Linked DNA regions of Anolis sagrei. The protein of the gene in region 2 interacts with the protein of the main gene of each other region in a biochemical or structural test. Links are inferred from orthologs where the notes say so. Each region holds a gene or a part of one and is shown on either strand. Other genes may lie near its edges.

Evidence for each region.
Region 1: the proteins of LRRK1 (region 2) and CLVS1 form a complex in vitro, tested with the Homo sapiens proteins (2 studies listed by BioGRID and IntAct, with this or other methods). The link is inferred for Anolis sagrei from reciprocal best matches to the Homo sapiens genes LRRK1 and CLVS1.

What each region holds. Positions count from the first base shown.
Region 1 is NC_090024.1:47,513,078-47,520,900, forward strand, and holds the start of CLVS1 (clavesin-1), read right to left. Parts: upstream 3,016-7,823; 5' UTR 2,652-3,015; intron 1-2,651.
Region 2 is NC_090029.1:13,127,600-13,134,982, forward strand, and holds the start of LRRK1 (leucine-rich repeat serine/threonine-protein kinase 1), read right to left. Parts: upstream 3,018-7,383; 5' UTR 2,862-3,017; intron 1-2,861.

The DNA.
Region 1 (7,823 bases), on a different chromosome or scaffold from region 2:
TCCTTGTACTGCTGCTGTCCAAAAGCTTGGTCCCATAGCCAAGGTTTTGCTTAGAAACAATGGCCACTGGTTTCAGCATAGCTCTTAGGTAAGCTTTTAAAAGAAAAATAGGTTTCTTTATCTTGTAGGGAGTTGGTAATCTGCCGAGCTAAATTAAACAGGCAGTTTAACACTACATAAGAAAACTGCCTGCAAATATTTATCACTCTGTAAGCCATTGACCTGCAGACCCAATTCTGCAGTTCCTAGTTATTGACTGTGATACTTCATTAGACACCATAGATTAACAAAGACTGTAGGAAAAAGTCTCTGTGAAAAACAGGAAAAAATTGGAAAGATCTAGTCCAGTGTTTCTCAACCTGGGGGTCAGGACTCCTGGGGGGGGGGTCATGAATGGGTGTCAGAAGGGTCACCAAAGACCATCAGAAACACACAGTATTTTCTGTTGGTCATGGGGGTTCTGTGTGGGAAATTTGGCCCAATTCTATCATTGGTAGGGTTCAGAATGCTCCTTTTAGGTGAACTATAAATCCCAGCAACTACAACTCCCAAATGTCAAGCTCTATTTCCCCAAAACTCCACCAAGTGTTCACATTTGGGCATATTAAGTATTCATGCCAAGTTTGATGTAGATTCATCATTGTTTGAGTTCACAGTGTTCTCTGGATGTAGGTGAACTACAACTCCCAAAGTCAAGGTTGATGCCCACCAAACCCTTGCAGTATTTTCTGTTGGTCATGGGAGTTCTGTGTGCCAAGTTTGGTTCAATTCCATTGTTGGTGGAGTTCAGAATGCTCTTTGATTGTAGGTGAACTATAAATCCCAGCAACTACAACTCCCAAATGACAAAATCCTCTCAATCCCACTAGTATTCAAATTTGAACGTATCAGATATTTGTGTCAAATTTGGTCCAGTGAATGAAAATACATTCTGCATATCAGATATTTATATTACAATTCACAACAGTAGCAAAATTACAATGTATGAAGTACCTATGAAAATAATGTTATGGTTGGGGGTCACCACAAGATAAGGAACTGTATTAACGGGTCATGGCATTACAAAGTTTGAGAACCACTGATCTAGTTTCTAAAACATTCCCTGTGAAGATCACAAAGCAGAGTCAACAAGAAAGGGGAAAGCTGACAAAACCATTTATTCTTAAAACTAAACTAAAATCCTGTCATCTGCAAGTTACATGGTTGCAGGGAAATTGGCTAAGCTTTTCTTGTTTTGTTTTGTTCCCGCAACAAAAAACCAGTTACCACCCAGAAGAGAGAACTCATACCTTTGCTGTTTGGTGCATGACATCATATTATTATATAACGTCATTTTACTTGTTGGCAATGCACTCACTTCCAGTGTACCAGGACAATCTGTGTTATCCTCTGATTATATGATGGAAGTCCAAGACAAACCTCCCCCCCCCCCCCCCCCCTTTACAATCTCATCTGTTCTTTTCTTCCCAATATAAACCAATCACGGACTACTTATGAACAAAGACCCGCCATCTGCTCTGTAACTTTAATATTATTCTCCTCCCCACCCTAAATTTCACCCCAGTTTAATAGTCATCCCATGGCACAAGACACTGGAAAGGATTTTCAGCAATGGAACTGTATTGTGAAATTATGCCAAGAGACTATTTCAATATATTTTGGGTATGTGTGCTTGTGTGTGAGAAAAAAAAATCAACAATGTTTTACTTTCTGCAGTAAAGAAAACAGATATGGAAAGATGGGAGTCTTTCCTCCCCTCGTCCCATATTAACAGTGACAATCTCCCACTGAGAAGCAAAATTCAATTGACCCTGGGTTGTGAGTTTTCTGGGCTGTATGGCTATGTTCCAGCAGCATTCTCTCCTGACATTTTGCCTGCATCTATGGTAGGCATCCTCAGAGGTTGTGAGGTCTCACAACCTCTGAGGATGCCTGCCATAGATGCAGGCAAAATGTCAGGAGAGAATGCTGCTGGAACATAGCCATACAGTTTGGAAAACTCACAACAACCCAGTGATTCTGGCCATGAAAGCCTTCGACAATCAATTGACACTGTTTGTTTTCTCCATCACATCCAGCCTTGGGTTTAATATGCCTGGTGGAAGCAGAGGGCAATGTTGGGGGGGGGGGGGGGGTTGCTTGTTTGTTTTACCAGCCTTGACTCCCTGATCTCCACAACTGGAGATCTGGGGAGAGACTATCATGCCCTTCCGCTCCTTTCCTCTCCCTCTCCATCCCCACCAGCCTTTTCCCAGTTGCAACCTTGGTCTGAACTCCCTTTTGCCACCAACTTGCGTCTTTTTATCCCAGACTCTGGAGGACTGGTGCGGATCCCTCCCTGCCACCTTCTTCCTTTTCCTTTTGAGAATCGCCAGAGGCTCGTTTGGAGCAAAGATGGGAGGAAAATGTTGCAATAGGAGGAAAGGATAAAGGCAAGGCGGGGAGGAAGAAGGGATGGATGCTGCCGAGGGCGGATGGATCGCAGGCGGGAGCTGTCCGCGCAGGATGGTGCTGAAACGCCGCAGCCATGGCATTGCAACAAAAATACAAGGGGAGCGAGGCGAGGGCGGAGGCGGGGAGGAGGAGGAAGAGGAGGAGGAGGAGGAGGAGGGAAGCCTGGGCAAAGCACACAAAAGACCCATCCCAAATACCTTTGGAGCCCCGCGCAGCCCCGCCTCGGGTGAGGTCCTCCGCAGGGATGCTGTCCTCAAAGGCAGATGGAGGGGTTCAGGGAGGCGGAGAGGTCGCCTTCCTCGGTGCGCCTCAGCTCCAGAGCTTCTTCCCCAGGAGCGGCGAAGGAGTGAGCCGGGGCTCCTGGAGGCTGTGCTTTTTTGGGCAGGGACCGCGCGGGTGTGTGTGCGGCTGGGTGCACGCGCCTCGGCCACGCAGAGCCTGCCTCCCCCGGGTCCTAAAGGCCTTCCCTGCTCCTGCAACAGGAGGGCACCCCTTCAGCACCCAGGGCACGGAGACCCCTCCTGTGCCTGGCAGATGTCTCAAGACAGCTCGTGCCATTCACCATTTGCAGCTGCCTCAGCCAGAACATAAAACCCCACCCCAATACCCAGAGGCGGCCCTATGTAATTTTCGGTAAGCAAACAGTATTTTGGCACCCCCCCCCCCCCCCCCACCAATCACAGATATATATTTTCTGTTCACAGTGGGAGTTCTGTGTGTCATATTTGGTTCAATTCCATCATTGGTGGAGTTCAGAATGCACTTTGATTGTAGGTGAACTATACATCCCAGTAACTACAACTCGCATATGTCAAGGTCTATTTCCCCCCAAGAGTGCCTCAAGAGCCCCCCTGGGCAAAATCAACTATACTTCACGTAATGGGTTGAGCCGCCCCTGCCAATACCTTTATGTTGCATAGAGTGTCTTCCAGTGAAAAGAAACTAACCTGACTACCTAGAATTTGTACAACTAACTCTTTATTAGGGATGGGTGGACATGTGGCACTCCAGACCTTGAGGAATGACAACTTCCATAATTCCTCATCACTGGCTATGCTGGATAGGGCTTGTGGGAGATATGATCCAACATTGGGTTTCTGTGAGTTTTCTGGGTTTTATGGCCATGTTCCAGAAGCATTCTCTCCTGTTTGAGGCAAGTGGGAATGCTGCAATTGATCGCCTTGATTAGCATTGAATAGCCTTGCTGCTTCAAGGCTTGGCCTCTTCCTGCCTGGGGAAATCCTTTGTTGGGAATCCTTTCCAGGCAAGGAAACAATCAGGGCCAGTTAATGACCTCCCAACAAAGGTTCCCCCAATCAAGGTGATCAACTGCAACATTCACACTTGCCTCAAGCAGACAAGAGTTCTTTTTCCCACCCTGGACATTCCACAGATATATAAACCTCACTTGCCTTGTTTCCAAAAAACCTCACAACCTCTGAGGATGGCTGCCATAGATATGGGTGAAACATCAGGAGAGAATACTTCTGGAACATGGCATACAGTCCAGAAAACTCAAGCAACCGAATGAGTCCAGCCATTAAAGCCTTTGACAACACATTAACCTAACATTATCTGAAAGACTATGGAGGCCAACTTTTGCTGTAACTTAGCCTGAATCAAAATTGCTGCTCTCCTATTCTTGATTCCCATCTGCCTCAGTCTAATTCTATTTCTCTTCAGTCACTGCCATATTGACCACTGATGAGGAATTGAATGCTTTCAAGACCTGCAGGTTGACAGGTTCTTAGTCCCGGTTCAATGCCAGAGAACAGCCAAAGTGGTGATAAAAGAGCATAAACATATTTGTTTGGGTATGGTCTACCCTGGGTCCTGCATAAGAAGAAATATAGTATAATTATAAAAAACATTAATAATAAATCCCCCAACATGGTGCCCTCCAGATGTTTTACCATGTATTATCCATCATTCCTTATCATTGGTGACAATGACTGGAAGCAGTGGTTCCCAACCTTTGTTCCTCCAGGTGTTTTGGACTTCAGCTCTCACAATTCCTAACAACTGGTAAGATGGCTGGGATTTCTGGGAGTTGAAATCCAAAACACCTGGAGAACGAAAGGTTGGAAACCACTGGCTGGAAATAATAAAAATTGTGATCTAAAATATCCAAAAGGCAACATGGCTACAAAAGAACCACAATTTGCTTTGGTGTACAGTAGTTGATAAAAACAAAATAAGTAAACTGTGTATGGCAATTTTAAAATAGAGGAGTTCTTCAATGAGAAGAAATGGTAATTACGCTGCTATGCACACTTCTAGGTAAAAGATCCCCCTCTCCTCTTAGTGAAAACTTTTCCAATAGTACATTCATATTACTTGAGGTCCATCATTTCTAAAGCAGACTGACAACACATCTGAGGGGCAAATATCACAGTTAATAGAAACCTATTTACTTACTAGATCTTTCAGTGCTCATTCATGAATTGCATGTTGCAAGCATCTCAGAGGAATAGCAATTATGAATTAAACAGAGAATTCTTCTTCCCTAATCTACAGTTGTCATTCGGAGTTGTTTCCTTTCCAATTACTCCCTTCAAATGTTTAGATTTAAAACTATACTTACCAGAGTTTTTGCAATCAATGGCTAACTGTTCATCAGTGAAGTTAAACATACTGCTACAGTCTGCTCCATTTGACAAGGCATTCTGTTTTAAATTAATGTGTTGAGTTGTGTGTGTTATATTTTTTTTTAAGAAATGTAAAAGATGGCATGTTATGATGTAGTTTGAAAACACAGGATCAGATTCTTCCATGTCTTCCAAACTTATTCATTTTTTAAATTTTAAAATAATTTTAATATAGTGGACGATTGTTGCTTGTGGGCCTCACATATTATTTCTGGACCAAGTGTCCTGCAAATTTTGAGTTCCAATATTTTGTTTTGCTCTTTACTTGACCAATAGTACCTCTACACCAGGCATGGGCAAACTTCAGCCCTCTGGGTGTTTTGGACTCCAACTTCCACAATTCCTAAGGAATTGTGGGAGTTGAAGTGCTAAACACCTGGAGGGCTGAAGTTTGCCCAATTCTGTTTTACATCATTGGAGGAATGCTATTAGCTTCTTCTTCTTCTTCTTCTTTTTTTTGTTATTTTTCAAGGCATTTGGAGGCTATTAGGCTTGTTCTGGGTTATCATGCAATGATTTTGTGTCGGTAGATAATACTATCTAGGCAAAAAGAGCTCCTAACCATGGCAACTTTCAATAGTACCCCTTCTGAAGTGGGAAAATTGAGGAATGTTATTTCTTTTGTGGGGGTGGCAAAGCCAAAAGAAATGACAGCCAGAATATGGCAAAGGTGGAAGTGAAAGGTTCAAGGCAGAAAATCCCACAATATCTGTTTTGAACTGGGTTATCTGTGTCCACACTCAGATAATGTGGGATTTTCTCCCTTGATATTCTGGCATATAGGGCTGTGTGGAAGGGCCCCAACTAGATACAAAGGGTGATGTAGCAGAACCTGAAGTTGTAGGTTCAGGGTTCTGTAAGCTTTTGGGAAGCAGGGTAATTGACATGAGCTGCCACCCTACTCGGGCTTCCCTGCTTCCTTTGAGTTTAGTGGCTATCCTCGCAGAAGCTGCAGGCAGCGGATGGATAGGATTTTCCAATATACTCTTATGATTTATCCTTGTTGTCATGCATGACTTGCATGTGAATGGGCAAATAAAATTATGATATCACTGACTTTTTATGGAAAATGCTGTTTTATGTGTTCGATATTGTGGTACTAAGGTAAAAAGCTGGCAGGAGGGGGAATGAGAATGAAATACTGGAAGTGAATGATGATTTGTGGAATGTCTGGAGGAATTTGAATAATGGCAGACAGTAGAGTTAAATAGAGAATTGTGGTGAAGAGAAATGAGTGGATGAGTGAGGATGAGGGTTAAGAGAATCAGTCATTCAGGTTAGGAATTAATGAATGGCATTTAAGAGTCAATTAGCTAGGACTCGAATGTGTGCAAGACTGTGAATAATGTTCTAAAATTATTTTTTAAATGGGTATGTTTTGTATGTTTGAATTTTGTTAATAAAGTATATTTTTGTATTTTCATTTCTCTACAACTGCTATATATTATAAATATTCAATTTTGACATTATGTCTATGGAGGCAGCCGTGAATAAAGAGATTTTGTGTCTGAGAGTAAAAGTTGCATATCATCCCACACAGGAGTATTGAGGGTATCTCTATGTGACAATAGCATGTGGGATGGGAAGAAGCCCTTACATTGCTGAGGAGGATAAAGGTCAAGGTAAATGTTTCCCTTGACATTAAGTCTAGTTGTGTATGACTCCGAGGGGAGGTGCTAATCTCAATTTTTAAGACGAAGAACTGGAGTTGTCCATAGACATCTCCAAGTTCATATGGCCAGCATGACTGCATGGAGTGCCATTACCTTCCTGCCAAGGCAGTACCTACTGATCTCACATCTGCATGTTTTCAAACTCCTAGATTGGCAGAAGCTGGACCAAACAGTGGGAGCTCACCCCGCTCCCTGGATTCGAACTGCCAACCTTTTGATCAGCAAGTTCAGCAGCTCAGTGGTTTAACCGGCTGTGCTACCAGGGTGTCCTGCTGAGAAGGAAGGATAAGGGAAAATCCTGACTCTTGGTGACTTCAGTGAGATTTTTGGCAGAATTCATTTTTGATGACATTGGAGATTTAGGCAGAAACTCATACGGGTGGGAAAGCAGTGGGATGAAAGGGAAACAGTTTCACAGAGATCTAGATTGGTGAAACAGCAGGAATTGATTTGTGGATGTGAATCAACACAGCTCTCTGGATGTCATAAGAAGTGACTGCATTTCAACATCTACGACCACACTGCCATGGCCTTTCCACACTGTTCAGTTATAGCACTATGAATCCATTTGAAGTCTCATGGCATCCTAGAAGCCTAGGACACTACAGCTCTCTGGCTGAGAATTCGAAATACAATCTCTGCAAACTGCAAAAGCCGGGATATCATAGAATGTTGTAATTGCAGTTAAAGTGAAAGGATTGTACTATAACGATGTAATGTAAAAAAGCTCCTGGTTGAGGGAAACTTATTATTTAAAAAATAATATTTGGGGGGGGGGGAACCTTTACTTTCTATGCTGCCATCCTGTGGAATCCTGGGGTTTATAATATGGTGTAGTGGTGCTACTCTCGAGTTCTCTGCTAAACAGATCAAATCCCTGAATCCCATAACAATTAGCCATAGCTGTGAAAGTGGTCTCAAACTGTTATGATTGTACAGTGTAGATACATTAACTTTGTGGAGGAAAAAGGATAAGATGACACTAGCTACAACAGGGGAAAATTGTGCTATTCACTCCCTAGACTCCCCTCAGTCTCAGTGCTAAAAC
Region 2 (7,383 bases):
ACTGCGAGAAGATCCAACCAGTCCATCCTCCAGGAAATAAAGCCTGGCTGCTCACTGGAGGGAAGGAGACTAGAGACAAAGTTGAAGGAGGAGACAGCAAAGCCTAGAGAAGACAATGATGCTGGGGAAAGTGGAAGGTAAAAGGAAGAGGGGCCGACCAAGGGCAAGATGGATGGATGGCATCCTTGAAGTGACTGGACTGACCTTGAAGGAGCTGGGGGTGGTGACGGCCGACAGGGAGCTCTGGCGTGGGCTGGTCCATGAGGTCACAAAGAGTCGGAGACGACTGAACGAATGAACAACAACAACATACAGGATAAAACACATACATACAAATATTAATAAATTAACATGAGTCAAATGCTCTAGTAAAAAGCCAGGTCTTAAGTGATAGGATAAAATGCCCTAAGTGACGCATGGCTCTCATATAGGGTGGCAAGGAATTCCATAAGGCAGGGGCAGAAATGGAGAAAGCCCATCTGCGTCTGGTGCTTTCCAAATGCACTTCTCTAGGACCCGGTATATAGAGCAAATCGCGTTGAGATTGTCGTAGCAACCTCCAATGATGGGAGAAGGAGAGACGGTCTCTAAGATACAATGGACCCTGGCCATATAAGGTTTTAAAGGTCAGGACCAGCATCTTATACAAACCATGATAATCAATTGGAAGCCAATGTAGATGCCGCAGCACTGGAGTTATATGACATTTCAAAGGCATTTTTGTGATTAACCTGGCCTCAGCATTCTGTACAATATGGAGCTTTCGGGTCGTAGACATCGGAAGGCCAACATATAAGGCGTTGCAATAGTCCAGCTTAGATGTGACCGTGGCATGGACGACTGTTGCCAGCGCCTCATCCGATAGGTAAGGTAACAATTGCCTCGCTTGTCGTAGATGGAAAAAGGCCTGTTTGCTGGCAGCAGCGGCCTGAGTTTCCATTGTCAACTGCGAATCCAAAACGACACCTAGGCTTGTCGAAGGCTTTCATGGCTGGAATAACTCAGTTCTTGTGGGGTTTTTTCGGGCTATATGGCCATGTTCTAGAGGCATATAGCCATATAGCCCGAAAAAACCCACAAGAACTGACACCTAGGCTCTTAACGGTAGGCGGAGATAGAGCAGCACCATCAAAGGTGGATAGCAAATGGGTCAGACCTATCGAGCGGCCATGCCAGAGAATCTCAGTCTTTGCCGGGTTCACCTTCAGCCTACTAGCACGTAGCCAGTTCGACAGAGCCTCCAGACATAAGGTGAAATTGTCTGGTATTGTCGTTGCTCCCGGCTCCAAGCGCAACAGGAGTTGGGTGTCATCCGCATATTGATAGCAGTCCAAGCCAAATCTCCAAGCCAAACTGGCAAGGAGTCTAACGTAGATGTTGAAAAGAAGAGGGGAGAGAACTGCACCTTGGGGTACCCCGCATTCATAGAATCAAAGAGTTGGAAGAGACCTCATGGGCCATCCAGTCCAACCCCCTGCCAAGAAGCAGGAATATTGCATTCAAATCACCCCTGACAAATGGCCATCCAGCCTCTGCTTAAAAGCTTCCAAAGAAGGAGCCTCCACCACACTCCGGGGCAGAGAGTTCCACTGCTGTACGGCTCTCACAGTCAGGAAGTTCTTCCTAATGTTCAGATGGAAGGGGGGAACTTTGGAGGGGGGAACTTTTGGAGACTTGATCCATATATTCCATGCACTGACTCCGGTTAATGAGACATGCTGCATTATCATGGGGTGTCTGCGCCCTACACCACTGGAGAAATTACACTGTTTAGCTGGTATCGCACCACCTGACATCCGCCGGGAAGTAGCAGCAAATAGTGAAAGGACCAAGGCTGTGACATCTCCAGCTCTTCCCTTGTTTGGGTATCAGTCAGCACGTCAATGACTTAAATCAAGAAATATCTTTCTAAGATCTACAGAGACACTCGCTGGAACACCTCAGCAAGCGAGAGTCCAAAAGTGGCAGGCTCAAACCCAGAACCTCAACCAATGGCTGATACCAAATGAGAGACTCCCCCCTGGGCACACAGAAGACTGGGCGACTTGGAAGGCGCTGAACAGACTGCGCTCTGGCATCACGAGATGCAGAGCCAAACTCAAGAAATGGGGCCACAAAGTTGAATCCTCGACATGCGAGTGTGGAGAAGAGCAAACCACTGACCACCTGCTGCAATGCAACCTGAGCCCTGCCACATGCACTATGGAGGACCTCCTTGTGGCAACACCAGAGGCACTCCAAGTGGCCAGATACTGGTCAAAGGACATTTAATCAACTACCAAGCTTGCAAACTTTGTGTTTTGTTTTGTTTGATTGTTAAAAAATGGACACAGCATATTATTTGAGAACACAGAAATGCTGGACCACTCTCACAACCACCCTGTCAGACTGCACAGAGAAGCCGTTGAAATCCACTAGAAGCATGTGGACAATTTCAACAGAAAGGAGGAAACCATGAAAATGAACAAAATCTGGCTACCAGTATTAAAAAAAAACTCTAAAATTACAACAGCAAAACAACAGAGGGAAAACAATCAGGGACAGCTAATCACCTCTCAACAAAAGATTGCTCCAGGCACTGCCAGGCCATCAAATGCTAATCAAGGTGGTCAGTTGAAACATTCACACCTAGCTCCAGCAGACAAGAGTCTTTTGTCCCACCCTGGTCATTCCACAGATATATAAACCCATTGTCCTAGTTCCAACAGACTTCACTACCTCTGAGAATGCTTGCCATAGATGCAGGCGAAACGTCAGGAGAGAATGCCTCTAGAACATGGCCATATAGCTCGAAAAAACCTACAACAACCTAGTACAGGGGAAGTTTGCAAACTTTGCAACACTGTATCCTTAATGCTCACCCCGCCAGGACCGGGAAAAGTGGCTTTTCTGGGAGTTTTCTTTCCCTCCGCTCCCGGGTTCCAGGTGCGGTTGGTTGTCTTCGGAGGAAAGGAGGAGGAAAAAAGAAGGAGGAAGGAAAGAAGGAAGGAAGGACGAAAGAAAGAAAGAAAGGGGTGGCCCAAGCAAAGCGGAAGAGCCGGCTCGAGCGCTCCCTCTGGAGGCCAGAAGCGGAATCGCGGCGCTCGTGGCTCAGAAGCTGCTGCTAGTAGTGCTTCCTCTCCTTTGGACGAATTCTAATCTCCTTTTCCTTCTTCCTGCTTCCTTCCCCTTCTCCACCTCCACTGTTACTACTTCTCTCTCTTCCCTATTAGTACCGTTTCCCGCACTACTATTATGTACTATCTCTCTTCTTTGCCTTTCACTACTACTACTTAGAATCATAAAATCATAAAGTTGGAAGAGACCTCATGGGCCATCCAGTCCAACCCTATTCTACCAAGAAGCAGGAATATTGCATTCAAATCACCCCTGACAGATGACCATCCAGATATATTCCACACTGGGCATGCGTATTCAGCAGCAGAGTAGCCAAACAAAAGGGCAGATGCCTTCACTGTGTCTGGTTGTGACCCCCAGGTTGTTCCCATCAGCTTTCATATGATATTCTTTCCAGCATAGAATCCTAGAGTTGGAAGAGACCTCATGGGCCATCGAGTCCAACCCTATTCTGCCAAGAAGCAGGAATATTGCATTCAAAGCACCCCTGACAGATGGCCATCCAGCCTCTGTTTAAAAGCCTCCGAAGAAGGAGCCTCCACCACACTCCAGGGCAGAGAGTTCCACTGCTGAGCGGCTCTCACAGTCAGGAAGTTCTTCCTCATGTTCAGATGGAATCTCCTCTCTTGTAGTTTGAAGCCATTGTTCCGTGTCCTAGTCTCCAGGGAAGCAGAAAACAAGCTTGCTCCCTCCTCCCTGTGGCTTCCTCTCACATATTTATACATGGCTATCATATCTCCTCTCAGCCTTCTCTTCTTCAGGCTAAACATGCCCAGCTCCTTAAGCCGCTCCTCATAGGGCTTGTTCTCTAGACCCTTGATCATTATAGTTGCCCTCCTCTGGACACATTCCAGCTTGTCAATATCTCTCTTGAATTGTGGTGCCCAGAATTGGATACAATATTCCAGGTGTGGTCTAACCAAGGCGGAATAGAGGGGTAGCATGACTTCCCTGGATCTAGACACTATGCTCCTATTGATGCAGGCCAAAATCCCATTGGCTTTTTTTGCCACCACATCACATTGTTGGCTCATGTTTAACTTGCTGTCCAAAAAGACTCCAAGATCTTTTTCACACGTACTGCTCTCGAGCCAGGCATCGTCCCCTATTCTGTATCTTTGCATTTCGTTTTTCCTGCCTAAGTGGAGTATCTTGCATTTGTCCCTGTTGAACTTCATTTTGTTAGTTTTGGGCATTCATCTCTCTAATCTGTCAAGATCGTTTTGAATCCTGCTCCTGTCCTCTGGAGTATTGGCTATCCCTCCCAATTTGGTGTCGTTTGCAAACTTGATGATCCTGCCTTCTAACCCTTCATCTAAGTCATTAACAAAGATGTTGAACAGGACCGGGCCCAGAACAGAACCTTGCTTATGGCACTCCACTTGTCACTTCTTTCCAGGATGAAGAGGAAGCATTGGGGAGAATCACCCCCTGGGTTCGTCCACTTAACCAATTTCAGATCCACCTCACCGTAGTTTTGCCTAGCCCACATTGGACTAGTTTCCTTGCCAGAAGGTCATGGGGGACCTTGTCGAAGGCCTTCCTGAAATCCAGGTACTTGCGTTTCTTCTTCCTGTCTCTCAACCCCTCCTTGTTCTTTCCTTTCCACCAAAAGTACTATTACAGTACTAGTTCTTCCAACTTCTTTAATCACTGCTACTTGTTCTTCTGTCTCTTCATCTTTTTCTACTACTAGTAGTAACGACTTCTTTCTCCTGCTCCCCTACTACTACCTAATCTTCCTCCTTTCCTTCCTCCAGTACTACTATTTCTCCTCTTCTTCTTTATCCCCTCCTCCCTTACTACTACTATTCTTATTCTTTTTCTTCTTTCTTCTCTGCCATGATGAATGTGTCTTCATCTTCCTGCACTACTAGTAGGTTCTACCTCTCATCTTTTGCCTTCCGCTACTAGCTTTTTCCTCTTCCTGTCTCTCATTGTCTTTTTCTTTCCACCAAGCGTACTACTACTTCTTCCACCTCTTTCTCCTCCTCTACTTTGCCTTCTGCCTCCTCATCCTTTTCTACTACTACTAGTACTACCTCCTTTGCTACTACTTGTTCTTCCTCCTGCTCCCCTACTACTGCTACCTGGTCTTCCTCCTTTCCCTCCTCCAATAACTACTGTTTCTCCTCTAGTTCCTTATCCCCTTTCTCCCTTACTACTGCTCTCATTTCTTTTCTTCCTCCTCCTCTATGACTAATACATGTTCCTTTTCCTGTATTACTAGTAGGTACTAACTCCTATTTGTTCTTCCACATCTTTCTCCTCTACTACTACTTATTCTTCTGTCTTTTAATTCTTTTCGTCTACTACTGCTTTTTCTTTCCAAAGAAGTCTCAAAGTGGCTACTACTAGTAGTACTAACTCCTTTGCTACTACTTGTTTTTTCTCTTGTTCCCTACTACTTCTGCCTGGTCTTTTTTCTTTTCTTCCTCCAGTACTGCTACTATTTCTCCTCCTCCTCCTCTTCACCCCCCTCCTCCACTACTTCTAGTTGTTCTTCCTTCTGTTCTTCCTTGTCCATTACTGCATTTACTCAAGTCCAATATAGCATCAAATCTAATGCACACCTCAATTTCCAAAACCCTGAAACCCAAAACAGGATCCATCATATTCCACGAATCTAACGTGCACCCTAATTTTGGGAAGGTAATTTAGTCCAAAAAAGGTGAGCATTCGAATGGAGTAAATGCAGTATTTCTCCTCCTTCTCTTCTTTATTCTCTTTGTCTGCTACTACTTCCTTTTCATGGCATAAAAATGGGGAAAGCCTGTTGCGAATGCCTCTGGAAATGTCATAAAGACAGTTTCGGGTTTTCCCCAAAATTACACTTAAACCTCCTTTGAAATGAGACCTGGACAGACACATCCTGTTTTTTGTTATTATTATTATTTCAAGGGCTGCAAAAACAGAACAGGAACTGGTTGCAAAGTAATCAGACTAGGACACGGAACAATGGCTTCAAACTACAAGAAATAAGAGTCCATCTGAACATGAGGAAGAACTTCCTGACTGTGAGAGCCATTCAGCAGTGGAACTCTCTGCCCCGGAGTGTGGTGGAGGCTCCTTCTTTGGAAGCTTTTAAACAGGGGCTGGATGGCCATCTGTCAGGGGTGATTTGAATGCAATATTCCTGCTTCTTGGCAGGGGGTTGGACTGGATGGCCCATGAGGTCTCTTCCAACTCTTTGATTCTATGATTCTAAACCCTTGTGCCAACAGAAGTGAAGACTGACAGGTCATAGGTTCGAATCCGAGGAGAGCGTGGATGAGCTCCTTCTGTCAGCTCCAGCTCCCCATGTGGGAACATGAGATAGCCTCCCATAAGGATGGTAAAACATCAAAACATCCAGGCAATGTCCCCTAGGCAACGTCCTTGCAGACGGCCAATTCCCTCATACGAGTAGCGACTTTCGGTTTCTCAAATCGCTTCTGACACACACAAAAAAATCCCACTGAACATAGAATCATAGAATCAAAGAGTTGGAAGAGACCTCATGGGCCATCCAGTCCAACCCCCTGCCAAGAAGCAGGAATATTGCATTCAAATCACCCCTGACAGATGGCCATCCAGTCTCTGCTTAAAAGCCTCCAAAGAAGGAGCCTCCACCACACTCCAGGGCAGAGAGTTCCACTGCTGAACGGCTCTCACAGTCAGGAAGTTCTTCCTCATGTTCAGATGGAATCTCCTCTCTTGTAGTTTGAAGCCATTGTTCCGCGTCCTAGTCTCCAGGGAAGCAGAAAACAAGCTTGCTCCCTCATCCCTGTGGCTTCCTCTCACATATTTATACATGGCTATCATATCCCCTCTCAGCCTTCTCTTCTTCAGGCTAAACATGCCCAGCTCCTTAAGCCGCTCCTCATAGGGATTGTTCTCCAGACCTTTTATCATTTTAGTCACTCTCCTCTGGACACATTCCAGCTTGTCAATATCTCTCTTGAATTGTGGTGCCCAGAATTGGACACAATATTCCAGATGTGGTCTAACCAAAGCGGAATAGAGCATGGGTAGCATGACTTCCCTAGATCTAGACACTATGCTCCTATTGATGCAGGCCAAAATCCCATTGGCTTTTTTTGCCGCCACATCACATTGTTGGCTCATGTTTAACTTGTTGTCCACGAGGACTCCAAGATCTTTTTCACACGTACTGCTCTCGAGCCAGGCATTGTCCCCCATTCTGTATCTTTGCATTTCGTTTTTCCTGCATGTCAAGTGTTTGAAAGACATCATGCATGTCAAGTGTTTGGAAGAGTCGGTTTA